4 linked regions of the Rhinolophus ferrumequinum genome follow. The protein of the gene in region 2 interacts with the protein of the main gene of each other region in a biochemical or structural test. Links are inferred from orthologs where the notes say so. Each region holds a gene or a part of one and is shown on either strand. Other genes may lie near its edges. The genes, in order: SH2D2A, ERBB2, TNS3 and SH2D1B.

Region 1 (7,319 bases), on a different chromosome or scaffold from region 2:
AACAAATGACCCATGCGCCTGTCTGGGCACTCTCACTCTCAGCCCCTGGTGGCTCTGTGCGGCGGGGATGGTTTCTTAATGCCCCTCCCCGAGCGTGCATCTTTCTGGAAGGGCTTCCGGCCCAGACGTGTGGGCAAGAGGCATGGCTGGGTAATCTGTTGTGAGGAGAAAGGGCCTTGTCCTGCGGCCTGAGCTCTGCGTGAGGAGGGGCACGGCCTAGGTCCCCGGCTGAGAGTCAGGGCGGTGTCAGGGGGTGGCTCATACCTGCCGGGCGAGGGGCTGGCTGAGCGTCTCCCCATACGGGCTGAGCGGGCACGTGGTGTAGTGCAGCAGCAGGTCCTGCAGCCGCGTGTGGGCGCTGTCCTCACCCAGCACCACGTGGCGCCCGTCCTCAAGCTGGGCCAGCAGGAAGTGGCGGCAGCAAGTCCGGCTCCTGGAGGGCGCCAGTCCGGATGCGACCAGGGATGCGACCCGCTCCCTTTCCCCGGCCAGCGCCACCCGCCCTGTGCCAGGGTGTCCCACTCTCAGTAGCAGGGGTGGGGAGTGGGGAGAAGGGGGGCGGAGCAAAGAGGGGTCGACAAGTTCAGCCCCTCGGATTAGCGGGACGCCCCGCCCCTCACCTGTAAGTCAGCACAAAGGTCACGGCGCTCTCGCTGAACCGCACCAAGTAGCACCCCTGCGGCCTGGTCTCCAGCAGCCTTTCGGCTTCCCTGTGTGTGGAGAAGAGACAGCGCTGCTCTGACTCTTCCAGCCTCTGCTGTCTCCCAGCTCTCATGGGGGACCCTTACCCCCAACCAAGCAGGCTGAAGTGGCTAGAGAAGAGTGGAGGTGGGAGAGGGGATGTGGGCCCCCCAGGACAGCTTCCAGCCCTGCATCCTGGCCTTGTCCTGGAAGGGCCGCGCAGCACCAGGGATGGCAATAGACTTTTAGATGTCACACGTTACAAGCGGAACAGAGCAGGCAAACACAGGAACAGGAGAAACAAACTGAGGAACTGCAAGGGAGGGAAGAGAGAGCAGAGGGCTGGGCGAGCCCGAGGGACACAGGCGGAGACCAGGAGGAGCGAGGCCTTAGATAGGGGAGGATAACTGAGCCTAGAGAAGGGAAACCGAGGCACTGAGGGGGTTGGGCTGGAGCCTCTCCGCGATCTCCCCCAGGAGAGGTGCCTTAGTGAATGGCCCCGGGAGCCTCCAGGAGGAGATATACCTGGACTCGTAGCCTCAACCTACTCCTGAGACGCAGGACTTGTCCCCAGGCCTCTCTGGGCCTGTTTCCTCCTCCGTGACTCACCTCCGGGTGATGAAGCCGTGGAACCAGGGAGGGGCTGCCCCATGCTGCAGGAACCCGTGGGCCTGGGTCTTCTGGAACCAAGCCCGGGTCTCGGCCTGCAGGGGCTGGTCTCCTTCCCTAGGCCCCTCGTCAGCCTTTCCAGTGTCCTCTGGGCTGGCGGCAGCCCCTGGGGCCTGGGGAGATGCCTGGTTAGGGGGAGAGTTCCAGGAGGGAAAGGAGCCATGACTAGTGGGCCTGCACCTGCCTCCACGCCAGCGGCCATCTTCTCATCCTCACCCCCAGCCCCTCCTGGGCGTGGGGTGGAAACTCCCAACCCCCCATCCTACTTGACTGTTTTAGGGTAGAATCGCCCAGGAAGCCCTTCCCAAGGTCTAACTTAAGTCCCATCTTTAGCTCCAACTGTCCTGGTTTCCCTGCAGGCCTTCTGCTCCCCGCTTTGCTCCTGGGCCTTTGCTCCAGCAGCAGCAAGTGGCAGGCTGTGCTTAAATGTGGCGAGGCCTTCCAGTGGCCAGAAGGTCATTCCCTGGGCTGAGGAATGACGCAGGAGGTCACCCCCCCAGGCCAGAATGAGGGAGCGCTCACCTAGGAGGGGGCACTGGCAGGGCCAGAAGACCAGGGTGTGCTGGGCAAACGAAGGCCGTGAACAAAGACGTAGATGGCTGCTTCCGGACTCAGACACTGTGCCCTGGTCACCTGGGACTCAGCCTGAGCTTCCCAGCTTGTCTCCTTCCCTCCCTCTGTGCCCCACATCACCCCTGCCATCTCCCACCCCTGTCCATCTGCCAGTGCTCCCCCAGGGGAGGGCTGAGGGCAGATGAAGTTGCTGCACGCCCAGGCCCCCACTCACCGAGGCGTGGACAGCAGGGGCTCTGGGGCTGGGCTGGGCCTCCTCGACCTTCAGGGCCTGGAGCCTGGCCCTCGGAAGCAACCCCAGGCCCTGGCAGCCCCTGCTGGTGACATCCAAGGGCTGAAAGGTGCTGAAGGTTGGCGTGGGGGCTTTGCGGTTCCCTGTGAGCAGAAAGAGGACAGCTGGGGCTTCTCAGTGAGGGGCTGCCTGTCTCCGTGTCCCCCATGCCCTGCAGGCTTAGAGGGGCCCTGCATGCCTGTGACCAGGGACCTGGAGGAAAGGGACGGTTATGACAGGAGGAGAAATGCAGGTGGGACATGGGGCACTTCTCAGGGAAGAGGAGTAAGGGGCCCAGGGGGCACAGAAGGGCTGAGGCAGCAGAGAGGCTTGTCCTGGAAACGGTACCACGAAGGGGATCTGAGATGTCAACTGGCCTTCCGGTGGCCCGGAGTCGGTCCCACAGTCAGGGAGGGAAGGCAGGCCCTCCTCTGGCCCAGCGTTCTGCGCCTTCCCCTTTCCCTCCTGCCCTCTCCTCCTTCCTCCCTAAGAAGCATACAGCAGACCCTGTCACCTTTGTTCTCAGGGCTGAGTGGACCTGCAGCCCCAGAGAAGGAAGAGGGGTTGTGGGCACCAGCAATCAGCCTTGCCAGCTCCAGCTCTGGGTGGGGCCCCGTCCTCTGACTGGGGGCTCTGGCCCTGAGAGAGAGCAGGGACCTGGTGGTCTTGTCCCCCCCGACACACATTCTTCAATGTCACACGTACCTTGGGGGCCTCCCTGGGCCAGGGGGAACTCCATGGGTGCAGAAGGAGCCTGGGAGCAGGGCGTGTGTGTGTGTTCCCACAAGGTGTGCACACTCAGCAACTCGCTTGTCACCCCAGCCCCCAGGGCAGGAAATGTCGCCTCCCCACAGCCCTGGCCCTGGCAGAGGACCCACGTCATGGAAAGTCGTAAGACACTGGTCCCTCCCCCGGAAGCCAGGAAGCTAAAGGTGGTGGCGGTGTGGTGGTGGGTTTTTGTGTCACTCTGTGCCTGGCTGTTGGGGAGTCCTAACTGCCATCTGACCTGGCTCCCCGATTCTCTGTCCACTCCCTGCAGACCGGGACTCCCCCTCTCTCTCTGCTTCTGCCCTGAGCAGTGGCAGTGGGGAGGTCAGCCTCAGGGCTGCAGGATCCTTGGAGGTTTATATTCAGGATTGTCCTCTTAGGACACCTGAGGAGGAGAGCTAGGAGGGGAGCGGGCAGTGCTGCAGCAGGAAGGGTGCGGGCAGACTTCTGGAATGACATTCTGAGGTCATATAAAATCTGAGAGGAGAGGTGAAAGGAGGGGGCCTGCCTTCATCCTCCAGCAGATAAGGAGCTGAGTCAGGGCGGGCAAAGCCAGCAATCCTGGGGGAGGGGTGGGGGAGGTGGCCTCCAGCTGGGCAGGCCCCTAGTAGCTGGGCCACTGTTAGCCCTTGTTGTTCTTTATTCAGTGCTGGTCTTAAATGCCACCAGAGGACTAGTTTCTCTCTCTTGTGATGCTCACACACGAGAAGGGGACTGCGAACATTATCCCCATTTTCCAGAAGGGAAAGCTGAAGCTCAGAGCGGCGCCTTGGCCAGGGTCCGTCCATGTCTCAGAAGTTGGTGAAAGGGTTGAAGCCAAACCTAGATCTCTCGCGCCGTGACAGCCAACGGTCCATGCTCTGTGCCAGGCACTGTTCTTGGTGCAAAGAACCCAGAGAGAAAAAGGATCTTGTCTCAGATTGTGTGGGGCGGGATGGATGTGCCCATGAATACTCACAGCGGGGAGTTAGTGGTGTGGGCGGGCCCCCGGGAGCCCCTGGTGCGCGTGTGCGGCTTGGGGTGTCAGAAAAAGATACTGAGCTGTGCTGTGGAGGAAGACGGGGAAAGGTGTTTCTAGAAGACGGGTGAAATGCACGGAAGAAATGGCGTGCTGCAGGGTAGCTGCTGGGACAGTGGCACTAGGGCTGCCACCGGTGGTCATGCAGCTGGAGGGGACACCCCCGGATTGGATGGGTGCGGCCTTGCACCCAGGACAGAGTGGCACAAGGAACGGCACACTGCTTCCTAAATGCCCTCCCCCGCCAGAATGAAACGCGCTCCTTCTGCTAACACATCAGTAGTGAAAGCAGGTCGCGTGGCCGGGCTCATTTCTAGAGTCAAGGGTGTGCCTTCTTCCATACGCCCCGAAGGGGAGGAGAACCAGCTTGGTGGGAATCCCTGCCGTCTACTGTCTACTAGACAGAGGAAGCACCCAGCTCATTTTTCCAGTCAGCAGGGCAAGCTTAGCAAGTGTCTTAGCAGGTCCCAATGCAAGCATCCAAGTGGGACCCTCTCCTTGGGAGGTACACGCTCAGGGTGAGGAGGACGAGGAAAAGAGGGGTGACCCAAGAAAAACATGCAAAAGAACATTGCTGCTTTGGTTACCACTTCAAAATGAGCCGCAATCAGACACCATGGCTGCTTGATGGGCTTTGTTCACTTGGCAAAGGGGCCCTTGTCCAGACAGGGTACAAGGTAGAACCACACCTTGGAGTAAGAAGTCCACAGGCGGGAGAAAGGAGGGGACTTACCTCCCCAGCTGCCTGTTCCCTCCCACTGTCCACTGGTCAAGGTTATGCCACAGGAAGGGACTTAGAAGTGGTTGCGTCTTTTGGACGCAGTGTTCACTCAGGGAGCAGGTTCCGTGGCTCCTGCATTGTGCGCTGTTTGGGATGAGACAGGATTACGGTCAGGACACAGAGAGACAGGCTCAGGGTGTGCTCTGTGAAGACCTAGGACTTCACCTTGGACTTCAGTCAGCTCAGGCCGCACGGAAAGTGCTCTGAGGGAGGTGGCAAGACTTTGGAAATAAGGAGTCGACGAAGAGACTCTCAGGACATGTACACGTGTGTCCCACACCTGCAAGTCAACGCTCACACCACAGTGCAGGGCAGACATGTGTCCTGTACAGACATGTGTTCTTATTCCCCAAGAAGGGAGCTTCAGGTCCGTGAGATCACATAGCCCCCTTCCAGGTAGAGGTCGAGTGTTTTTCTGAAAGACTGAAGAAAGAGGATTAGTGAAGAGAACAACCCCCCCAGCTGTAACTGGGGCTGGGCCTGGGTTACAGAGGTGTTGGGGGAGATGGGAACAGGGGAAAAGGCAGAAAGGAAGGGCGTGGAGGGACTGCACAGCCCCTGCAGCCCACAGGGCCGCCTTCCCAGCCCAGATTCTGCAGAGAATCCAGAATCCTGGTCACCCCACCTTGCGATTCTGCCTATTGGACAGGGAGGAGCCCGGAAACGGGCTCTGTCTCCATCCATCCCGCTGCGAAGGAGACACAGGGGATTGGTGCTGCTTGGAATTAGGTCCCCACCCCTCACGCTGATTGTCCGCTGCTCTGTAACCTGCCCTGGAATGGATCACAGCGGCAGGAGCGTCTCTGTGCAGCCTCGTGATGCCCAGGCGCGGCTCGGTGTGGCTGCAATCCCGCTCTGCTCCGCACGCTTCTAGAAACCATGCCCAGTACTCCATACACTTTGTCATAATTGCAGCGGAAGCAGTTTTCGTTTTTAAAATGGAATCACTCGCTGTCCCTGTCTGGAGGCCTGGGCCCAGGCCGTGGAGTCCCCAGGCACCTGGGCTGGAACTTGATTAGAAGTCAAGGGTGAAAAGGGCGCCCCAAGCACAGGGCCATGCCTCGGGGCTATGTGAAGAGCAGGTGGGGTTTGGGTTGGACCCCCTTGCCGCCCCACTTCTTTCCTTCTCCTCTCCCCTGCCTGGGTGATTTGGGGACGTGTGTGCTGCCAGAAGTTTCCTCAGGCTGAATCCCAACACCACCCAGGAGAGAGCTGGCAGGAGCAGCAGTGGCAGGAGGGTTGTAGGGAGTCCCCGTGCCAGGCGGCCAGTGGCCGTGTGTCCGGAGTGGGCAGTGCCCAGAGGGGTACAGAGAGATTGTGAGGACACTGGATGCTGGGAGTTTGCACAGGCTGCAGAGGGGCTTCTGGGTGGCCTGAGGGTCAGGTCCCATGGTGCTTGGAGGCCACCAGGAGGGGAGACCATGGACAAGTGGAGAGGATCCTGGTGGTCTCAAGGGTCCCCAGAGGAGCAAGGGAAGCTCCAGGCGTTCTGAGGCATCTGTGAAGCTGAGGGGGCGTCTTTGGGGTCAGGACAGGAAGATGTTCAGGGTGTCGGCACCTCATAGACTCTGGGGGCTGGAACTCGAGGTCTAGAGGGGATGGGGCTCAACAGGTCCCCTCTTCTCTCGTCCAGCATGGTCCAGCGTGTAGACGCTGTGCCTGAGAGGGAGTCATGGCAGCCAGTGTTGCGGGCTCCTGGTACTGCCCGCGTGCAGCCCAAACATCACCCACGGCCTCTGAAGGAGGAAGCAGATCGGCTGGCAGATGTCCCAGCTCAGGCATCCTGCCGTGAGCCTGGCAGTGGACTTTCCATTTGACAGATGAGCTAAACTGAGGCCAGGAGAAGCAAATGCTCAAGCAGACTAGGAGGTAGGTTTACCCTAAGATTTGGTTCAGTACTTTTTCCTCTCTGCCCTCTGCCCTGGCTGGTTTGCTATCATTCATTCATCGAGCAGCCACTGACAATCAGTTATGTGCTGGAGTGTGAGGTCGTGTCAAGGACTACAAGAATAAGACATGCGGGTAGGGGAGATACACAGGTAAACAATCCTAGACGATTCAGAATGACAGGAGCTAAGCTAGAAGCATGGGGTTCAGCGGGTGTAGGAAGGAGTGGTCCTCCTGCCTGGGACAAAAGGGTCTGGGGGAGAGAGGTCAGGAAAGGCTTCGCAAGCACCAATTGGCTGTTACACAGTAGTCGTGGGATGTGGGGTACAGCACAGGGAATAGTCGATAATATGGTGACAACTACGTGTGGTGTCAGGTGGGGACTATACTCATTCGGGGGATCACTGCGTAAATTATATAAATGTCTATCCACTCTGCTGTATACCTGAAATTAATATACAATAATACTGAAAGTCAATTGTAACTGAAAAATTAAAATGACTGTAGTCGTTTTAGTCAACAATACGGTGACAGTGTGGATGGTGTCCGATGGTTGCTGTCCTTGTCATGGAAATCACTTCTTTGGGTATAGAAATGTTGAATAACTATGGTGCACCCCTGAAACTCATATAATAGCATATGTTAGCTATATTTTAATAAAGATCTTTTGT
Region 2 (7,034 bases):
CCCCATCCCACCCTGGCCCCTCATGCTTCCACTCAGCTGTCTCCCTCCCCACAACCCTGTAAGTGCCACTGGCCTCTGCCCCACTCCTGCTCTCAGTTCCCTGCCACTCTGGGAGCGCCCAAGAAAGAAGCAGACATGGGCTGGACAGGGAGAGAGAGAGAACTCCAAAGCCAAGCGATGACACGGGTGGGGGCCAGTTGAGCTACACTTTCTACAGCCTAAATAAGGAAGATCATTCACCTGCGTAACAGAATAGTCGGGCTACCCGGCTGCCCCTGAGGCTTTGCTCAACCCATTCCTATTGAATGGAACAAGACTGACCAACTCTTAATGCCTCCTCGTTAGAGTCCAAAATTGCCCTGGACATTATTGGGTCACTGGGAAACCTTGGATAAGTCACTTCATTTATTTGAACTTGAGTTTTCTCATCTGTGCAGAAACTTCACAGGATTGTTGCAGAGATGAAATGAAACTGTATGGATAAAGAACCTGGCATGTAGGAAACACGATGTACATTTTTTGAAAGGGAAGTTCACACAGCAGTAGTATGGGTAATTCCCAACTGAGAGAAAAGAAAAGGTGCTTTGTATTTGGAATGCAATGTATTTTCTCTTCTTGCATTGGATCCCATCTTTTCAATTGTTTGTGTGTCTGTGAGTATTAAAATGAAGTTACTTTCCCTAAGTATAGTAAAAAGAAGGAAAGAGGCTGTTGGGAGACTCATATGGGAATTAAATATGAGCTCTGCAAGATAAAAAGGATGTGTTTGCTATCCTTTATAAAACCTTGACCTCTAAGAGAGGATCTCAGAAAAATCCCGACTCTCTGGGTCCTTCTCCATCTCCCCTTCTCCCCACATTCTTAACCCAGCTCTCAGCCCTTGGATGTAATAAGGGTGCTAGAGGCAGCTTGGTGGTGTGCTGCCATTTTAGACCATTTCCAGCAACACATTCAACATCTGACTGCACCCGCAGTGTGGGTTGAGGAGTGACGAGGAGACCCCAGTCTCCCGTGGGGGAACTGACTCCTCAGATCCCAGCACTGCAGCAACCCAGCCATTCCCCACCTGTTCAACTCGAAGGCCCAGGTGAGGAGGACAACAGCTCAGCCTGACAGCCCAGCCAGCCCTCAGCCTTCTCAGCAGGTCAGAGGTGAAGACTCGGCCTGGGTAACAGGGAAGGGTGGGCTCCCTCCCGGAGAGGAGACTTCTTCCTCAGAGAGAAGGCGTGGGGCCACCTCCCACTGTTTACAGCAGAGCTGGCCCAGCACCTTCAGGGAGTTCCTTGAGAGGGCAGAGTTCAGTCAAGTCCCCAAGTCAGCAGAGAGAGTGTTTGGCAACACAAAGCGGGCGCGCACGCACGCACACACACACTCACACACGCACACACATACACACACCTCAAGAACACCCCTCAGATATCACAGCAATGCTCTGGCAGGGGGGCCCTCAGGTGACACAGACAGGATGACACCCACCCCTTCTCCAGACTCCCTGATCTATGGAGACCACCCACTACTCCCAGGACCCAGTGCCGCAGGGAGCAGTGACGCCATTGTTCAAGGTGGATTAACAGTGGTTTCAAATGTATGGTTGGGGGCTCACTGGGGTCCCCACTACTTACTTGCTGCTACTTAACCTCTTTAAGCCCAGGTTTTCAGAAGGAAAATGGGAATATCAGTAGAACTTCTCTCATAGGGTTGTTCTGAGGATTAAAGGAGGGAACACATGCAAAATACCACGCAGTATTTCCAGCTTTAATCGTTATTGCATCGGGATGGACAGATGCGGCCAGACACTCGGTAGTCTCCCCATCAGCTTCTCCACACACAGCACGAGGGGAAAGGCAGCACAATCCACCCCTCTGCACACCCCTGTCTGGTCCTATTTCTTCGCCTCCCACTGCCCAGGAATCCCTCTCATAGAACTCTCCCATTTTATGCCCCAGACCAAGAAACCCACCACCACCCCTCTGCCGCCCCTGCTCTTCAAAAGTCACAAAGCACACAGTCTCTTTAGGAGCTGGCCCTAAAGAAACTTGTTCAAAACAAACGTCTCCCCCTCCCCCCCCACACCCCCGACTCCAGCGTGAGGCAACTTCGCAGTCCGACTGGCCAGCCTCTCCTCCCGGCTCTGGCCGGACAGGTTGTTTTCCCCACCTCCCCCTCCACACCCCGATCTTGCCTGAAGCTGGAGTAACTAAACCCAGTCGGCTGAAGGGGGGCGAGGAGGGGGTAGGGGTAGGGGCAGGGCAGGAGGGACCCCCGGGGAATCCAGCCCGGTCCAGTCCGGAGGCGGAGGCTGCCAACTGGAAAGGCTTTGAGAAAGCTCGAGGGGGCTCAAGAAGGGGACACATACACACACACAGTGCAATACACCCTTGGAGAGAAACTTTCTGAACAATTTCAGAGAACTTTTCTGAAAAGTTCCCGGAGCTGTCGCGGAGTCCGGAAAGCGCCTGTCTCCATAAAGAGACACGGAGAGGCGTCTTAATTGACCCCCCTGCCCCACCTTTTTTTGCCCCCTCCCCGCAGAGGGCCGGCGGCTCCGAGCGCCTGGACTGTCCGAAACTTCGGGTCTGGAAGTTCGTACGGCACCCCCTACCTCGCCTGCCCGCGGATTTCAGCGGGGTCCCAGGCTGCAAGGTCCCGTCGCGGCTCCCTGCCCTCCCCAACTCAGACCCACCTTGGGTGCCAACGGCTCCAGGGGGCAGGAGGGCGAGGAGGAGCCCCCAGCGGCACCAGGCCGCCAGCTCCATGGTGCTCACTGAGGCTCCGGCCCCATGGCTCCGGCTGGACCAGGCTGAGGGGGCGCCGGGCAAGGCAGGCGGAGAGGCCAGGCGCTCGGCGCCGGAAAGAGCACCCCGCAAAGGGGCGGGCCGCTGCCTGGGGGGGATCTTCTGAGCTCTCCGTGCACGATGGAAGGGAATCTCAGCCCCACAACTTCATTCTTGTACTTCCTCGAGGCAGCTCTCCTCCTCTACCTCCTCCTCCTCCTGTGATTGGGAGCCAGCGCGCTCACAGCTCGCCCCCCCCCCCCCGCCACCCCCTCCAACCGCATTCCTGCAAGTCCCTGGGAGTGGCAACTCCCGGCCTCACTTTCTCCCTCTCTCGGCGCAGGCCTGGGGTGCGCGTCCCTCCCAGCGGCCGGACGCCCGGGGTGCCTGCCGCACTTCTCATTCGTTTCCATAGAGAGCCCCTAAAAGCACAGGACGTGATTGCGCCCCCTCCCCCGGGAGTCTGGGGCAAGGGCTTTAGGCTGCCATCCTTAAGTCTCTTTTAAGTCGCCCGTTTTATTTTAAACATTTCTGGCGAGTTTGCATCCTACTCCATCACATGCCTATCCGTTTTAATACCAATAATGATTTTCCCACCACATTCTGAGGTAAAATTGATAGTCGAGGAGGGGTGTGTATTGTATTTAACCTGTGGCTTCCAGGACTCCCTAGGATACCTTCTCGAATTTTTCAGGTATCTTTTCCAGTCTGAAAAGCATGATTTTAAGAGGGTTTACAAGTTTGGAGGGAGAGAGTCAAATTGGAGGGACCTCCATCTCAGTCCTTGGAAAAACATCCTTCTTGTTTCTTTACCATTGGGGCATTCAACACCAATTTATCCGAGGTTTTTGCCTCTGTCCCTTGCTTTTTATTAGCTTGCTCAATTCCACCTCCCCACCCTGCATTCCACCTGGAGCCCCTGACCCTGTCCTTAAAGCCCAGTGGGGGGTGGGGCGTGGAGTGGGGGCAGGGGATGGAAGAAAGGCATGTTTCTGTTGGACATTCCAACAAAACATTGCAGGGGACATACAACTTACACTAACAAATTATTTGTTGTTTATCTGAAATTCATATTTAACTGGGCATCCTTATTTTTATTCGCTAAATCTGGTAACTCTAGTTGGAATGCCTCAGACAAGAGCTTGTGCTGTTCCAGAGGGGATCAGAGTCACCTGCTGAGTGCTGGAGAATGAGGGACAGTAGCATTTCTTAATCTGCTTCCATATTCCCAGCTTGGTTACAGGCAGGCACTTTTACAGTAGGGGGGCTGAGAACAGGGTGTTCTGGGATCAGAATGACCTGGGTGCAAATCTCCACTTCACCACAAATTAGCTGTGTGTGTGTGACCTTGGGCAAGTGACTGAGCCTCTCTGGGCCCATTTGCTTCCTTGTAAAATAGCATCTGGCATTCTAAGCTAGGGGTTAAAGGAGATAATGCTGCTAAAGCACTCAGCCCAGTACTTAGCATATAGTAATTGTTCAATAAATGGTCTCAGGTTTAGTTATACTGTGGTAGATCAGGTTTTGTGGGGCCTGAAGCTTATGAAATTTGGGGGATCTCCTTAGGAAAAGGAATACAAAGTTATGAACACAAAATTTGACACATGCAAATGAGGGGCCTGAAACATAACCTTCCCTTAACACCATGGTAAATCCCCTCCAGCTCTAACCAGTGATGTTCAAACTGCAAGTCAGGTTTTATTAGAAAGTTGGTCATGAAACCAATTTAGATGATCAAGACAAGTTTTTTTGTTTGTTTTCAAGAAATGGAATGGAATAGAAAAGATTTGCACACATCACATGTAGTAAGGGTAAGTATGGGTAAGGAAGGGTATGTGTATCTTGGTGATGAGGTCCAATGGATTGATTCTTTGGATCATAGTCACAAACGTTCAAGAAATACTACTGTGTATGGGGACACAGCTGCCTTTCAGGATGGGCACCAATATTCCTATTTTCTCTAGGGTTCAAGTTAAGAGTTAGAGAGGGTAGGGTCAAGGAAATGGAGGCTCAAACGAATCAACCAATTTGGCCAGGACCCTCTCCGGGCTAATGAAGAAAAAGTCAAACAGCCAGCAAAATCAGCTCCTCACCCTCACCCCAGCACATAGCCCAGGACCTGGTCAAGGTGTCTCTCAGCCCTCCAGGGAGAGGAGATGATAACCTGGCTCCAAGAGTCGCTTGCTGGTCACACACGGGACGGCTTGCCCCTGAGCGTGTGTGCATTGAGCCTTCAAGAGACCAATCAGGGTGTTAGGGTCCGTGTTAAAGAAGTCCCTTCTCCTCCAGGTCCACTCTACCCTGCCCTTGAGTTAGGAGGGCTGGTCCAGCCAGGAACGCTTCTGTGGCACCATCCTTTCCTGGACTGGACCCCTACTCTGTACCACTCTGTCCTAGAGGCACACTCCTTATCTCACTGAGTCCTAAGGTGCCAGAGGAGGCGCTTGTTATCTGTCCCCATTTTGCAGAAGAGGAAGTTTGAGGTTCCAAGATAATGGAAACTGAGGCACGAGGCTTTGGCTTCATCCATTCCCCTCCAGAGCTTGAATCAAGGGTACCATGAAACCACCCTTACCCAGGGCCCCTACAGGGGAGCCAAAGGAGGGTCCTCCAAGAAATCCCGGTAACTAACTACCCGTACCAACCCCCTGCTACCCCTGCCGAGACAAGCCCACCCTCTCTGCATCCCAGAAAGAAACCCGGACTGGAGACCATGGTCAGTCCCATTGGGCTGCTCTGAGGGGGCGGAGCCTGCAGGCGGGAGTGGGATTAGGGAGGAGCGGAGGTCAGAACTCACGCCTGCCCGGGAGGAGGTTCGAGAGGGGCCGGGGTTCCCAGAGAGAATGAGCCCATTCAGAGCCGGGAAGGAAGGGGAAAAAGCCTTGTCTGGTGTTTGACAAGAGGAGAGGAAGGGGGGCAGGGGTGGGCGCTGCTGATTCGCTTCTCCCCTCCACTGCCCCTCCAGCATGGCCTGGCAGGAGAGCCAACGAAAGAGGATATCTGACAGACAAAGGCTGGGGGGTGGGGGTGGAGGTTTGGAGGGGGCTGGGGGACCGACATGAGCCTGAGAGTTTGCCAGCAGGGTCCAGGAAGGACCCTGGGGAGGGAGACAGCTACAGAGAAGGGGTATAACTGCAGCACACAGTGGAGCCAATGGAGGGGCAGAGGAAAGATACATGAGATCTGCACGAGAAGGTCTTTGGGCTGCAGGTACCCGGCCTGTGGGCAGCAAAGGTGACTACTGGCACTGAAGAGGCATGAAGGGGCTCTGGCTTAGGGAGATGACCTCTGAGGGTCAATAGACTGGGGTCTGAAACCAGCAGCCTGTGAAACGCCAGTCAATTATTGACCAGCCGCTGAGACTGGGGGACACAAAACCGTGTGTATGTGTGTGCGTGCGTGGTGTGTGTGTGTGTGTGTGTGTGTGTGTGTTGGCACCAGAGTCTCCTCCCTCTGCCTACCTCACCAGCCAGCCTGGGTCAGAGCACTGAAAACAAACAGAAAAAGGGAGGAGACGGTCCACAGTCCGAGGTCCAGGCCACAAACTGGGGCCTACCCCACAGGGCCTCAAGTCTGGGACATGAGTTGCTGAGGAAGTGTCTTTATGAATTAGTTACTTGGAAGGAGTCCCCACAGGGAAGGCACCAGGCCTCCCTGGGGCCGCAGGAGAGTTATTTGAAAGATTTTGATAAGGAAATCTGTACTTCCTAAAGTTAGCCTTTTAAGAACACTTACAACCACTGGAAGGTCAGTCCCTGGGCCCAGGGGTTAGCTCTAGTCCCAAGGTTAACAAAGGAGGAGAGGCCAAACGGACATGTCGGACACGCTGACCTTGGGCATCCTGATCACCTCCCTCAGCCCCTCTCACCCCCATCTTAGGCTTGCAGGCCCAAGGCCTTTCTCTCTCCCTAGGCTGCTTTGCCAAGACAAAAAAGTGCCCTTGTGATCTCAGCCTCAGCTGGCTTGAACGCAGGTATATGAGTACATGTGACTTCCATCCTGGCCTGTGCATAGGAGGGAGGCTGTCACACTTTGTGTTCCTGAGTCCTGTGCTGTCAGTGTGTTTGTGCTGGCCGCTTAACATATGTCTTTATTTATCTGGGGGTCTTTCCTCAGACAACAGCTAGATTGTGTGGCCTTGTGTGAGGCTTCACTTCGCCTTCTGAAATGTGAGAATTAGATTGAATGGTTCCTGGTCACAGTGTTTTGGGAGTTGATGTGGGGGACCCCTTTAACCCCCATGCTTATCCCTTGAAAGCC
Region 3 (7,344 bases), on a different chromosome or scaffold from region 2:
AGTACCAAAAGAAAAGCTGCCAACCTAGAATTCCATACCCAGCAATAAATCAAAGTGAATTCAAAACTCCTTAAGCTGTACCAATGCTTCAGCCATTCCAAGCTCACAGAGCATGCGTGGGACAGCCAGCCATCTTTCCCCTGCTAGTCAAGCTCTCTGGAATGCTGGCAACAGTTTTCTCTGGGGATCACTCCAATCCCCACCCCAGTCCTTAGCAGTCCGGCAGCACTCTGGGCACTTATCTCCTGGTGTTTGGGTTGATCTTGTCGAGATTATCAAATGAGAGAAAGTGTCCTGCACCAAGCAGAAGCCGTGTCACCACTTCTGCCACCCACAGTACAAGCTTTGTGACCCTGGCAAGTCACAACCTTTCTTGAAGAGGAAAGATACCCCCTGCCTCCTGCCTGTTAAAAGAGCTACTGTAAGTGACCAAGGGCTCACCCAGGTGCCGGCTGTGAGCACTGGAAGCCTATGGGAATTGCTATGGCAGAGTTTTTAAAACAGCTCTGCCTCAGCTTCACCCCAGACTAAGGAGGTGGGGCCAGAATGTGAATTCTTTGAAAGCTCCCAGAAACTCCACCGTGCACGTGGGACTGAGAGCCAGCACTACCCATGGACTAGACCCTGAAGATGTGTTCTACAGCCCGTAAGGCACTGTTACTCCATGTGTCTTCATATGTGTGTCTGGGTTTGTAAGAGGTTGAACACTTTCTGAGAACCTTCCTTCCATGGGGGAATGACAGTGCTGCCATCATGAAGTTCACGGCACTGGCAGGACCCTTCCGTGCCATAACCACGGTCGTCACTGTTCCAGCGATAGGGCTGTAGGATGCCAGACAGAGACCACACAGCCAGTGGGTAAGGGACATGGGCTCGGACTGGTGCCCAGCCCAGCCTCATGCTCAGACAGGAGGAAGCATTCACGCATGTGACAAACACAGCCCTCCTTCATAATCCCAGTTTGGCACATCCATTCCTCCCACCCCCCCAAGTTTCAGTTCTTTGTTTCTATGCCTTTGGTCCTGTGCTTCACTGTCATTTCCTAGACGCAGGACGACGGGCTCTTATCCTTTGTCCTGCGAGCCCTGCATGGCACCTGCAGACACTGAACTGTGGACCCTCCATTAATATTTGTTGACCAAATGAATTGGCCAGTCTGTGGGCCAAGGAGGAAACACTGTGACCTTTTATTCCTTACAAATACCTTTATTCCAACCAGGGAGAAAGAGCCACTGTGTTCCTGAGGTTTTTTTCGTGGCCGCTGGGCCACAGCTGGGAGAGGAAGAAGGAAACAGCAGAGGTGCTGTTGGGAGGCTGGACCCATTTCAGTGGCTGGATGCCTGAGGATTCATTTCAGATAGTGTAATGACATCTGCTGACATGGCATCTGCACAAGGAGCCCAAAGGCGGATTAGACAGCCTTTGTTCTCACCTGAGAGGTGCTTTCATTTCTCCCAAAGAGGTGGGGCCCAGGAGCACAGGGGGAGGGGAGGCCTCGGTACTGCAGTATTGAGCAGGCTCAGTTCAGGAATCTAAATGGCATTCAATTGTTTGGAGCAGGCGGTTGGGAAGGGAGAGGGCAAGGCTAGGGGTTCCACCCTGAGGGGTGCTTGGTGGTCAGCGCTGGTCTTGACTGTGAGTTTTTTTAGAAAGAAAAATCTGAACATTTGGGGAAGGAAGTGCACCCCTGAGTGCAGAAGGGGAGCCACACCCCCCACCCCACTCTGCTCTGTGGTGAGGCAGAGCTTCCCAGACCTCCCTCCCAGGGGCTCCCACACAAAGCTACACCAGCAAAACCCAAGTTCTGTCTTCCTCTCAGGAAAGAAGATCCAGGGTGCATTTGGGGACCTGAAGAAACCTCAGCAGTCCAGGAAGGCAGACAGTGAAAACACAAATCGGCTGGATTCCGAAGTTAAAGGGCCACGAAACTTCCCACAGGGACAGTGTGTGCCCCAAACTGGGGGGTGACTGACCCTTCCTGGAGATGTGTCCATCCACTGGCAGCCACAGGACCCAGGACCCTCCCCACACCACACCTCGTCCTCAAGCTTCCCAGCAAGACCCTCTGGCTGGTGAGTTGAAAATGAGGACACTACACAACTCAGAAGGAGGGAAAGGAGCTGACATGTTGACAACCTCTCACTCCTCAGAACATTACCAAAGTTTCCAGGAAACTGAATGTCACCAAGGCCCAACTATTGAACTCAAAGAAAGGGCTGCGGGTCCGGTGGGAGGTGGCGGGGAGCCCCTCCCACATTCGCTCTGTTTAAATCAAGCCTCTGGAGGCCCCACCGTGGACCAGGGTCTCGGATGCAGCCGCCAGGAACTTGTACTACTGCAACAGGCCAGCGCATCCCAGCGTCTGCACAGAGCTGAGTGCCCTTTCCTTTGCAAGACAACACGGGCTGCGCTGGGAGTCTGCGTAATGGCCCATGTCCTACTTCCATTCCCTGAATGGAGTCCAAGGAAGCCTGTTCAAGAGGTGGTTGGATTAGAAAGTTAATCCTGAACTGTCTCCCACTCTGTGGCCTCAGCCGGGCGCCCGCCTCCCACCAGGCAAGGCCCGCTTTCCATCTCTCCTCCTCTCCTGCGCCCACACGCAAGGGTACACAAGCGCACACGCTGGGGCACAGACAAGGACACACGCGCACCCGTGGACATATGAGCACACTTGGGCACGCGCACCAAGGGCACAAGCGTGAACGTGCACACGCAGACAAGGGTGCACGGGCACAGGTACAGACTTGCACAGAGCGTGCACGGCCGCGAGTATGAGCGCACACGGGACGCGCGGGCTACAGCCCGAAAGCATTCATTTCTGAGCGCCCCGCACCCTGGCGCCCCCTCATCCCAGCGCCCTGCAACCCCCGCGCCCCCAGCGACCGGGTTCCCCGGCTCCCAGCGTCCTGCACCCACTCACTTGGCGCCGGTGCCGGCGCGCCCGGGCCCCGCGCGCGCATCCTCCAGGCGGCCCCCGAGTCAGGGCGCGCAGCCGCATGGCGGCTCCCGGCGCCGGGGAAGAGCCCAGCCGGGCCAAGTGAGGACGTCGGCGGGCGCCAACTCTCCGGGCGGCGGCGGTGCCCCACAGGGGTGCCTTCTGGGCCGCTGCGTCTGGGAGTCCCAGGAAAATTTCGACGCCCGGAGGCCCGAAAGGACACGGCCGCCACCTCCACTTCCACTCCGCACTCAGAAGTCAGACGCAGGGAACAAAAGCCAGGCGAGCAAGCGCACGGTCCCCCGGCGCCCCTCCATCTGACACGAATTAGCCCTCCCTCCCCCACCTCAGACCGCAGCTCCAGAAAGGAGGCGAAGGCTTCTCAGCCAAACCCAGGGAGAGTGGAGCAGAAACGCCCCCGGGGCAGGCGTGGGGGGCGAGGCTTCTGCCGCCTCCGACTGGATTACCTTCGCCTTCGGCTAGGGTGCCGCCCGACTAGGATTTCAGAGCTCTCCAGTAACTCTGACCAAGGTGCAAAATCAAAACCCGCAGGCGCTTTGGCTTCAGGGCTTGAAGTCTTGAATGCGTCTAGTCACCTAGTGCTCGGGTAATGGCCAGTATCGCTAGTAATTCCTGCTGCCTTCCAACCGTGGGTTTAGTGGGAAGAAGGAAAAGCGTCAGGCAGAAAGAAAGGCTTTCTTTCCGATTTGCCTCTTCAACTAAGAAAAACAAGGAGCAGCCTTGCTCCAGAGGGATGAGGTAGGGATTCCCCCGCTGAAAGCAAGTGATGAGGAGCCTTCCTCTGGGGCAGGGCCCCCGGCCTCCTGCCCCCCACCATCCCTGTGCCACCCAGCTCCCCACATCACATCCGATTTCCAGTCCCAGTTTGCTCATGGGGGCTGCGGTTTCAGAAGGAAATGTGAAGCCTGGAGTTTGGGAGGTGAAGGTGGGCTGTACGGTGGGGACAGGGTGTCACAGGAAGAAGGCAGACACCTGGAGAGGGGAAAGGCAGCGGGGAAGGGAGGGAGGGCTTCTCCATGGCCTGCCAGACCCCGCAGGATGGAGTCCTCGTGGGCTGTCCACACGAGCAGTGGGGCTTAATTCCACCAGGAGCTCCCGCATCTGTGGATGGAAGAGACAGGAAGGCCACCTTGGCCATGGCCCTGTCCTGCTGGGGCCACCTCCTCCCTCCAGTGGGGCACGGAGGAGGCCCCTGCACGGGAGCAGATGGCGCTGGGGAACCCTCTGGCCTCAGGCTGGCCCCCCCGTGTACCCCCAGCAGTGGCCCCAGTGACCTGACCTGACCTGCCCGGAGGCCCAGCCGTGTGTGGTTCTAGTGACCTGCGATGCGTCCACAGCTCAGAGCTGTGTTGGTCTAACGCCCGATTTCAGATCCTCCCCTCTGCTCGCAACTCCCAATGCCTTAGCTCTGCAGTCGTCTGGGTGGGCTGGACCAGGGCCTTCATGGTTAACACATGTGCGAATTCCAGCCCAGCCGAGGACTCCGGCTGGTTAACCTCTCAGGCTCTGGCGCTGAATATCCATCCGCCTTTCCGTTTCTGCAGTGGAACAGGAGAGCTGCTCTCCGACCTTCAACCACGAGAAGGCCAGGAGGGTGCCATTCTGGGTTCCGACTCCTGGCCCAGCAGACATCCAGCCCTACTCATTGCCCCCGTCGTCATTATTCACATTTTCAGACTTTCTTTTCTGCAGACACAGCCCTCTCCCCCGTGACTGCAGGAGCCTGAGCACACCCGGCCGCATTCATGTCTGCTTCCCCAGCACCTAACACAGGCTGGGCACGGACCAGTACACACACTGTACTGTCCAGTGCTGTCCAGGGCGGTGCAAACGCCTGGCCCAGAAGCCACGGGGTGCAGCACTGCCTCACCCACGGACTGGCAGAGGGACCCTGATCCCAGCAGACAGCAGGTGACCCCTAACATGGTAAAGCTCCCGTGGACCTGAGGACCAGGCTCTCTGGGGGTACCCCAGCCTCTGGAAATGTTCGTGCTGAATGCCAGTGCTCACGGCCAGGCCTGCACGATTGGAAAACAATGGTGGTTCTTCTCCTGGGGACTCCCTAGGTCTCCTACTTATTTGAAAGGTACACCATTCAGAAAACTCCCACACTTTACTACATGCATGTGATACACCCCAAGGGGTTGCCACAAGTAGTCAGCAATCAGGACGTGGTCTCTGCCCCGAAGCCCAAGCTACTTCCCCAAATGCAAAACTGGGAGCCTGCAGTGATTCCCCACTGTGCTAGCGGCCCCCCCTCCCCGGCCCTGCTTACACCTCAGCTCTGTGTCCTGGAGATTGCTGGCCCCACTCTGGCGTCTCCTTTTCCCTTTCTGACTGAAAACTGCCGCCTTTCTGGGCTCAGCTGCAGACCCGCCTCCTGCCCCACCTCCCTGACCAGTTAAATGCCCCCGACCCCACGGACCTCATCCTTGGGGCATAGCCCTGGAGTGTGGTCATCTGTCTTGTGCCTCCAGGCTGCAATCCTAACCTTTGTCTGGGGTTTTCCACACACAAAACAGAGCGGGAGCAATAAATGCTGGGGTAGGAAGGAAACAGTCGGCTTTGCTCCCTGTCCTTGCCGTCAATGTCAGTGTTTCACCCGACCCCCTCAGAAGCAAGCGGAAGCAGAAGGGTTTGGGGTCAGCTCAGTCTGGGGACCCTGGGGACCAGAAACCAGGGCAGGACTGGAGCCCACTCATCCAGGCGCAAACAACCCTGGCCTCGCCCGACTCACCCTGCCACTGGGCTGCCCCTCGTAAGGCTGCAGCCCTCCATGCTCCTCTCGGACCCAACGCCCAGCTGGGGCTGCTCGCTGCACTGAGTGCCCAGAACCAAAGCGAGGTTCTGCCTGCAGAAGACGGACTTCAGAGCACTGGGGACCAGACTGCAAGGACAAGCCCCAGCTCAGGGCCTTGGGCTGCATCACCCACCTGGGGCTGGACACCCAGGCTGCACTGCGGGCAGGAGCCCTTGGATGAGGCCGGCTCTGCCACGGATACAAGGATGGCTGGTGACGGCCGCTGAGAGCGATACTACTGGATTAGAAACCACTGGGTACAGTAGTAATCCATGAGGCCATGGGTCCTACTGACAGAAATCAGGAAACGCAGTGAAGGTCTGAGGAGAAACAGACGTCGGCGTGGCCTCAGGGCGCCTCCCACCCTGGGGACAGAGAGGATGGTGGCAGAAGGCTCAGCAGTAAGTGGGGCTGAGGAAGGGGAAAGGTTTTAGTCCCCACTTGTCCTGGGACCTCACCGAGGAGAGCCACAGTCTACCATCTGTCACTGTCACTCTGGAGAAGCTCTGCACAGTCTCCATTCCCCTTCCCTTTATTGTAAAAGGGGAACAGTAAGTCTACAACAGAACAGGCCCCCCACGCCTCCTCAGTCCTGGCCTTGCCAGGATGCCAGGGCAGTGACAGCACAACTCTCCTGCCAATGTTCCTGCTCGGGGACAATACCTGAGCAGGCCCTGCACGCGGACCTCAGGGGCGCCCACGCCCGCTGGCCCTGCCCCAGCTCCCAGCCTGGGGTCTGCGCTGGGGTCACCAAACATTCTGGGCACGCCAATGTCTGCACCCTCCAGTCCTGGCACACGCAGCATCTGTCACAGGCCAGTACACTCCTCCGTGCTGTGACCTGGAGAGGCAAGGAGTCCCCACCAGACACCTAAAGCATCTTAGAAGCAGGTTGCCTCTGACAACGAAGAAGACCCTTCGGTTTACAGAGCTCCTGCCCAGACAGCTGTCTGGGGCCTGCTCTCGTGCCCCCAGCTCTGAGTTGGCCCTCCCTCCCCGTCTAGCGGTGCTGGTGGCGGGCACACCTGGGCCATCTTGGGCGCAGACCTCGGGCAAATCCTGGCTCTCAGGACATCCCTCACCCTCCTCCCCTGCTCAGCAGGCGTCAGCTCCCCACTACCACCCAGGCGCACAGGCCACTTTCTAATACTTCCTGATGGGGAACATTGAACACAGGGGAAACCAAGGCCCGGGGCGCCTAGGGGTGAGTGGGGGGCCTGGGAGACGGAGAGTCAGGGAGCACAGGCATGTCACCTAACCCAGCACCCCCTCGGGACCACGGGGGCCACCTCGCAGGGTGTATTAGGACCAGGGCTGTAAGGCCTTGCCCCCTCAGCTTCCGTCTTTCACAGCCACTGCTTCTCCAAGTCCCAGCAGGTGCTCAAAGACGTGGTGAACGCAGGAGCACCTGGCCCCAAGGGGGTCTTTTAGTCCCATCAACATAACCCACATGTCTTGGTCGGTGGCTACAGAATTCAGGGCAACCCCCAGCCTGAGCTCCCAGCACCCTCCCACAGCTCATGGCTCCTTTTAAGGAACAAAGTGGTAACTTCTGACATACTTAGCAGAAGGTTTTTTGCCGATGCTC
Region 4 (7,382 bases), on a different chromosome or scaffold from region 2:
AGCAGACAAAACACCGCAGTGGGACTCGTGCGTGGTGGACACTCTGCCTTTACAGTCGGTCGAGTCAGAGTGGAGGCGACATTAGGGCTTGCAAGGGGTCCACGGGCAGGGTGAGGGAGGGCGCTTTCTACAGCCACCGGAAGGCTGCAGTGAGGAGAACCCCACCTGAGCCAACTTGGCACGTGGCCTCACTGAGGGGACCGTGGCAACTGAAGAAGTCAGTGACAGAGGCCCTAAGAGGTCTTTGGAAAGTCTCCAGATTCTAGAAAATGAGACTTACATTTCATACAAGTTCACTGTGGAAAACTGAAACAAAATCCAGAGGTATACAGAAGAAAGCAGAAACCCTCTAAACTCATGCCATGCATAAGTGATCCTTGGGACTATTTCGGCAAAATTCTTTCTAGACTTCTCCCTGTGCATTGACATACACACGCAAGCATTGCACACTTACAAACACACAACCACACTCGTGCACAGATTACATTTTTGAAAATTTGCCCACTATCTCTTTATGTTAAATTCCTAAAAATAGCATTGTTTGGTCAAAGACCTGTACATTTAAAACTTTGACATGCATTTATAAAAAATTATCCTGCCCTCCAAACACTGGGCCAATTTACCAGGTGGAAATTTTTTAAAGTATTCCTTACGGACGTGGGTTTCCTCGCTTGTGTCATGTCACGAATATACAAATGACTGGAAAGTGAGTCCACTCGCATCACCAGCACTCAGCCAGGAAGTGGAAGTTACCAGCACTGGGCCCCTCCCAACGAACCACGCGCTCCCCCCACAAAGGTAACCAGGGGCCCCCCTCCAACGCCACAGTCCGTTGTGTCCACATCGGAACTTCACGCAGTGAGCACTGAGCAGCCCCCAGTGTGGGGCAGCTGCAGCCCCTTCTAGTTCACGGCCACATGGACCCACAGTGTGATTGCACGTTTCACAGACAACACACTTGAAATGTTCTGTGGAGAGTGAGGTGATTCTTCCTGACTCCAGTGCTGGGGGTGGGGGGCCCCACCCTAAGCTGTGTCAGTCACACACCCCTGTGAGGAATGGCAATTGTCTCTCGATCTGTGAGCCTTGCGGGTGCATGTGTGCAAGCATGTGTGTGTGTGTGCATGCGTGTGTTTGCGTGTGTATGCATGTGAGTGTGTGCGTGTGCATGCGTGTGTGTGCGCGTGTGCTGGGCGGGATTGCGTCCTTTTCTTGGTATCCCCAGACACTTTCTTTCATTTATTTTTTCGTTTTTTGTTCTTTGGGTTTTTTTTTGTATCTCCATGGGAGGATGGATGTAAATATATATTTTCAAATCACTGTCATGGGTTTTTTCGGGTAAATACCCAGAAGCGGAATTGCTCTATTTTTAATTTTTTGAGGAACCTCTATACCAATTTACATTGCCACCAACAGTGCACAGGATTCCTTTTTCTCCACAGCCTCTCCGGCACTTGTTATCTTCTGTCTTTTTAAGGACAACCATTCTGAACATGTGAGATGACACCTCACTGTGGTTTTTTTCACTTGCATGTCCCTGAGACCCAAGGTCATTGAGCAGGTTTCTGTCTGTCTGTTGTCAATCTGTATATCTTGTTTGCAAATATGTCTATTCAGGTGCTTTCCCCATTTTAAAATTGGATTCTTTGGGGTTGTTTTGCTAGCGAGTGGTGTGTCTTTACACATGTGGATATTAACCTCACATGTGGATATCAAATGTGGTTTGCAGAACAGCTCGCCCACTCTGTAGGTGGCCTTAGCAGGCTGTTTCCTGACGTTTCTCTCCATGAGTCACCTGCATTCTTCATTTTATGGACAAGTTCTCTCCCTTCTACAGGCTGTTGGGCAGGTTATGGCCACCAGTTCACAGCACAAAAATACACCTATTTACAGGCATTCCTAGAGAACTCATCTCCATTCATATTTCCTCCTCCCACCCCAGTCAGTCCTCTGTGCCCTCTCTTTCTTCTTTTCCTCATTTCCTTCCAATTCCTCGGTAAGGGTCTCTGATTAGCCCATCTCAGGTCAGGGCCTACCCTTGGCCTCCCAGAACGTTCCATCTGGGACGTTACTATTTCAAGGTGTGTCTCTAGAACAGTGAGATTTGAGTACCAGCTGACACACGTCCTACGGAATGTCCCAGACCTGGATGTGTCTGTCTCGTGACAGTCCCATAAGACTTAGTGATACAGCCTTGACTCATTTCTGGTCCTGCTGTTTGGGGCCCACCTCAGAGGGATCCTCTGTGCTTCCTGCTGCATCCAAGTCTGGCTGTCCCCCTCTGGGACAGGCTAAGTCTGATCAGTGGGTTCAGGTGGTGACAGTTTGACCTCTCACTGGTAAAGGTCATTATCAAACTTGCCTAAAGTTTTCACCCACTGACTGTTTTTGCCCGAATTATTCCTTTCAGGAGGTGTTACAACACGGACTTGAGAGGGTTCTGTCAGTGAGTAAACACATGTCACTTTGCTAGACTGTCCTCCTTCCCAGTGTCACCATTTTACACTCCAATCAATGATGCATGAGACGTTATTACCCTAGTTCACCCCAGCATGGCCAACCCACTGTGTCCAAACTTGATTTTCACCAATGTGTAGGTGAGAGATGTTATCTCAGAGTGGAATCAACGTGCGTCACTCATGATGAGTGAGGAGAGGCGGGTAGGTTTTTAAATGTATAAAAAGGCAGGAAAACCCCTGTGATAATGAACAGACTCCCAATTACTTCCTCCTTTCTGTAACTAGTAGCCTTACACCAAGCTTGGTACTCAAGCAAGTTTCCTCTTTCAGCATTAAACGTTCTCTCCTTGACTGTCTTTATTCCCGAGAAATTAGGTAGCAAATTGCCCCAGGCTGCTCGAGAGAAATTGGGATTTGAAAGTATCTCTCTTGATTGTGTCACTGCATGCCGCTCCATGACACCAACGGCAGAGCAGGGGGACTTCCCCTGGAGAACACAAGTGTGTGGGCTGCAAGGAAGTCCAGTGGCAGCCAGACCTCACGGTGGCGATCAGGACAGCTGACACCGTCGCCTCGGCTAAAGTAAGGAAGGGCCGTGAACACAGGTTTGAATTGCCATGGGACGTACCTGAGATACGGAGCCACTCCCACAGATATGTGACTAAGGCAGCAGGACAGGAAGAGAAATTCCATTCCGTTTATACCAGTTGACACTGGATTACAGATACGCTTACATGGCTTATTTATGTGAAATTACTTAACCATTGATTAATGACTCAATCATCTGTGGGATGGTTTGGTTGCTCAAAGGAAATGGGGAGATGGGGGTGAAAGGGCATAAGCTCCTGTGGCCAAACGAGAACGCGCGGGGATGTCGTGTCCTGCATGGCGACTAGTCAGCACTGCCCTGCTGCTTGAGAGTTGCCAAGTGGGTAGGACTCCGTGTGCCCCCCCACAGAACGAAATGGCAATTACGGGACGTGATGGAGTGTTCACTGGCCTGTGGTGGGAGATCGAGTTATCAGGTCGTACGCCTTGAACTACACAACCTTATATGTCGATTAGGTCTCAGCCAAGCTGGGGGAAGGCCTGAGAAATTGCCCTCAGGGCCGCTCTGACCCTCAGGTAACAGGATCCAGCTTTCCCACGGTATCAGCCGATCAAGGTGGAAAGAGATTTCCTCATCAACAGCAGTGTGTCTAAAGGGGGTCAAGTGTCTCTGGCCGGATGATGCTTCCTGGTCTCTCTTCATGGGGACACGTCACTGCTTTGCACACCCACGTGTCCCTCCCACCTGCGCCTGCTACTTGTCCCCAAAACGCAAAGCTGAGGATGCTGAAACTGGCCTTGTTCACCTGTGGCAAGGAGCCTGAGGCAGGGGTGGGCCGTCGCCCCATGGAGTCCCACTGCGTCCTCCCCCACTGATGTCTTCCATTCCTCGTGACCTTTGACCCGTGGGAGTCCTAGCCTTTTCTGTCCCAGTGAGTCTGCACGTACCTGGGCCCTCGCAGCCTCTGAACACTTTCTGAGCGCCCGTTCTAAGCTGAGCACAGACCAACAACTCCAGCAGAAAATGGCATTCTTTAGAGCATGAGCAGTGCTGTGTTCCCGGAAGGGCCACCAGGAGCCAGAGCAGGTGACGCCTGGTGACTTCGGGTGCTGCAGCAGGCTCTGGGGAGCGTGACTGCTCCATGGCAGCCCCAGGGGAGCCCCATGTTCTCTAGAGTCTCAAGCACACTGTCGCCCACAGGTATAAGTCACACTTCGGCCGAGTACAGCCAAAATGGCTTGGTCACATACCACCTCCACCCTTCGCATTTCCTGCTCTTGCGAAATGCGTGGAGTCCACAGACCAGCCTCAAGTCACGCCCACTGGCTGGAGCAGGAAGGGGTATCTCCATTTGGCCAGCTGCCTCTGCGTCTCTCCTCAGAGCCACCCCTGACTCTGGCCTGAGTCCTAGGGCCACAGGGCGCGTCCCCATGGATCTGCCTTACTACCACGGCCCTCTGTCCAAGACTGACTGTGAGAGTTTGCTGCTCAGGGAAGGGGTGGACGGCAATTTCCTGTTACGGGACAGCGAGTCGGTGCCCGGGGCTCTGTGCCTCTGCGTCTGGTGAGTAGCCTCGCCTACCACACATTTCAAACCTTACATGAGGGTAGTAACGATAACCAAACAGAAAGGAAGCCATATTTCACTCTGACGTTGCAGCCCTGCGAGCAGAGGGAGACAAGGGGGGACCCAAGACAGCGGGGAGGATCGCGACTGTCCTCATCCTCAGCACGCCCTGCTCTCCCTGGTGCCACGGCCACACGAGCAGACTGTGTGCGGCCGCAGAAGTGGGGTGCTAGGGAACCTGCAGGAAGCCTGGGAGGTGAGGGGACACCCCTAGTTAGCCTTGCAACCAAGGTGCTCTCCTGCAGAGTCTGTTTATTTGGTTAAGAAAAAGGCCAGGGGTCCTTTGTGAAAAGTCTACCTGAGAGACCAAGTTTTTACACGGATTCTGTGGGCTCCACTTGCAATCCTTCAAATGCTAATAACAGTTCAATTCTGCTAGATTGGTAAAGGGCTGTGGCTTACGCCGTTCCCTCTCACCCATCTTGTCTGCCGAAGCAGCATAGGCCAGCACCGTGTACAGATGGAGAAACAGAGACGTGGGTTTCTCACTCAGTTTGTTTGTGTTCAGATTCACCCGGCGGTTCCAGAGTCTGGCTGACTTCAGGGTGAAGTTCCAGGCCAGAGTCAGCCCAGGGCCCCGTGAAGGCACCTGATCAGCCTGAGAAATAGCACCCCAGAGGTGTCAGTGGGGCCTAATACCTTTCAGTACTCTCCACATTGGGGGGACCACTGAACTTCTTCTGTTCGTTATAGGAATGAAAACCCAGTGCATGCATGCATGCTCCAGTGTTTCTCAGGACGAGGGAGTTAGGAGGACAGAAGTGACAGCACAGGTGGGGGTGGAGGGCACCCCCTCTTTATACGCTGCAACACAGGCATGAGAAATGCAGCCCTAAGGTGCTAGCAGTTTGCATTTTCAAGCTATGGGTAATACTGACAGTGATTTCATCAAATTTTCTTACTCAAAAGAGGGTAATTCTTCTTTTGAGATTTGTGCAATCACATCCCTTCCCCTCTTTTAGCTTTGGTTGTCTGTCTTCTGTTTTACCGATTTATTTCCAGTTTCTATGTATGAAGGTAAAACATTTTTTTGCCAAAAGGACAGATGCACAAACGATAACTACAGACCAATTTCAATTTCATTTAGTATCAGTTTTCAATAACCTACTAATCAAATTGAAGCCAGTAACATGTAAAATACATTCAAGTATGGTCCAATCTAAGACATCAAGGATGGTTCCCTGTCAGGAAAATTATTAGTTTAGAGTTTATTAATTAGAGTTTTAAAAAAATCAGTAGAAAATTAGGTAAAGTATAAGAGGAGGCAATTATCTGAAACAGAAGTGTGGAGAAGACATGAGAAATTGCCAGATCTCGCTTATAAGTAAAGAAGTACAAATGAACAGAATAACAGGACACCCTTTTTACGCTCAATGGGCAAGAATCAAAACTATGGAAATGCCCGAGGAAGTCAGAGTGGGGACAGCAACTCCGTGGTTACATGGCAAAAGCATAAAATGCCTGGATCAAACCTTTGGCCCCAAATTTCACTAATAAAAACCTATCTCCTAGTTAGTGTCCACTGCAAACCAAAATCCAGTAGGTATTCCATCAATAAAAAGGATTTATTCAGGAAAAAGAAAGGATTGCAGCCCGGTGCATGTTGACATGGACAGTCAGGTGAGGTTTCTGCTGGGGAGATGGAAAAGGTCTTTACAAAGGGGACACTCGGGGGACAGGACACTCAGGAGAGGGGCCAGAACCACAGGTCCCTGGTCAGCATAGTGTTCCTGCAGGGCTCTTATGATGACAGGGAGTGGGGTCCCCTCCCAGACACCCTCCCGATTCTCTCCAGGTTAGGATCACACAAGTATGTGCAAATCGACACTGACAAGACTGGATAAATCCATACCCGGTATGAGAAAACCGCCTGATCTATTGTTATGTGAAAAAAGGCAGGATGCAAAGTATGATTCCATTTGTGTGTTTGTTTTTTTTTAAAAAAGGATGCCTCTCTCCTTGAATATGCATATAAAATTTCTAGACGGTATATAACTTATCATCGTGGTTACAGCTGGGACATCTAGGAGGAGTGAGTAGGGAAAAGGGTATGGGGTTATTCTTTTCATGTGATGACTTCTTTCCACTGTTTGAATGTTTTACGTGCATGTGTTACTTTTGTAATTTCAAAAAATGTTTATAAAAATGCAGTGACGGTGATGGAAGGGGAGCTGACTCTGGGTGGTGAACACACAGTGTGATTTATGGATGATGTGATTCAGAATTGCACAACTGAAATCTTTGTAATTCTACTAACAATTGTCACCCCAATAAATTAAAAAAAAAAAAAAAAAAAAAAATGCAGTGAATTCTACTGCCTATTCCAACCCTGGGCTAGGGCCTGGGCAGAGTCTAAGGAGAGTCCGACATGTTCTAAATAAACAGAGCGAGGTCAAGTATAAATTCCAAAATAGACAGTTGTGTTCAAATTCAAGGACAGAGATGAGCAGAAAAGCCTCCAGAGGAGGTGTGATGAGCTGGGGCTTGACTGGGTAAGATTCGGTGACCTGGAAACGGGGTGCATGGGACTCTAGGGGGCAACGCAGGGATGGGTCTAGAAGACGGGTACTTTAAGGCACAGGCGACTCATGCAGGGTCCTGGGAAGGTCGTTTGGAAACCCACTTTGGGAAAAGTAGATTTGGGATATTATTATGGCGGCTTAACAGGAGGATTCCGTAGACAACGGGGAAACCTGGCTGGTTTCTGAGCAGGGACGTGTCAAGACTGGTGCTGAGTTCTAGGCAC

What was found.
Region 1: the proteins of ERBB2 (region 2) and SH2D2A form a complex in vitro, tested with the Homo sapiens proteins (2 studies listed by BioGRID and IntAct, with this or other methods). The link is inferred for Rhinolophus ferrumequinum from reciprocal best matches to the Homo sapiens genes ERBB2 and SH2D2A.
Region 3: the proteins of ERBB2 (region 2) and TNS3 form a complex in vitro, tested with the Homo sapiens proteins (2 studies listed by BioGRID and IntAct, with this or other methods). The link is inferred for Rhinolophus ferrumequinum from reciprocal best matches to the Homo sapiens genes ERBB2 and TNS3.
Region 4: the proteins of ERBB2 (region 2) and SH2D1B form a complex in vitro, tested with the Homo sapiens proteins (2 studies listed by BioGRID and IntAct, with this or other methods). The link is inferred for Rhinolophus ferrumequinum from reciprocal best matches to the Homo sapiens genes ERBB2 and SH2D1B.

What each region holds. Positions count from the first base shown.
Region 1 is NC_046305.1:1,171,343-1,178,661, forward strand, and holds the start of SH2D2A (SH2 domain-containing protein 2A), read right to left. Parts: upstream 3,019-7,319; 5' UTR 2,934-3,018; coding exon 2,900-2,933; intron 2,299-2,899; coding exon 2,138-2,298; intron 1,476-2,137; coding exon 1,291-1,475; intron 711-1,290; coding exon 621-710; intron 434-620; coding exon 265-433; intron 1-264. UniProt on the Homo sapiens protein: Could be a T-cell-specific adapter protein involved in the control of T-cell activation. May play a role in the CD4-p56-LCK-dependent signal transduction pathway. Could also play an important role in normal and pathological angiogenesis.
Region 2 is NC_046304.1:36,302,343-36,309,376, reverse strand, and holds the start of ERBB2 (receptor tyrosine-protein kinase erbB-2), read right to left. Parts: upstream 3,014-7,034; 5' UTR 2,757-3,013; coding exon 2,684-2,756; intron 1-2,683. UniProt on the Homo sapiens protein: Protein tyrosine kinase that is part of several cell surface receptor complexes, but that apparently needs a coreceptor for ligand binding. Essential component of a neuregulin-receptor complex, although neuregulins do not interact with it alone.
Region 3 is NC_046303.1:1,022,893-1,030,236, forward strand, and holds the start of TNS3 (tensin-3), read right to left. Parts: upstream 3,011-7,344; 5' UTR 2,999-3,010; coding exon 2,921-2,998; intron 1-2,920. UniProt on the Homo sapiens protein: May act as a protein phosphatase and/or a lipid phosphatase. Involved in the dissociation of the integrin-tensin-actin complex. EGF activates TNS4 and down-regulates TNS3 which results in capping the tail of ITGB1.
Region 4 is NC_046305.1:2,824,289-2,831,670, reverse strand, and holds the start of SH2D1B (SH2 domain-containing protein 1B), read left to right. Parts: upstream 1-4,362; 5' UTR 4,363-4,439; coding exon 4,440-4,573; intron 4,574-7,382. UniProt on the Homo sapiens protein: Cytoplasmic adapter regulating receptors of the signaling lymphocytic activation molecule (SLAM) family such as CD84, SLAMF1, LY9 and CD244. In SLAM signaling seems to cooperate with SH2D1A/SAP.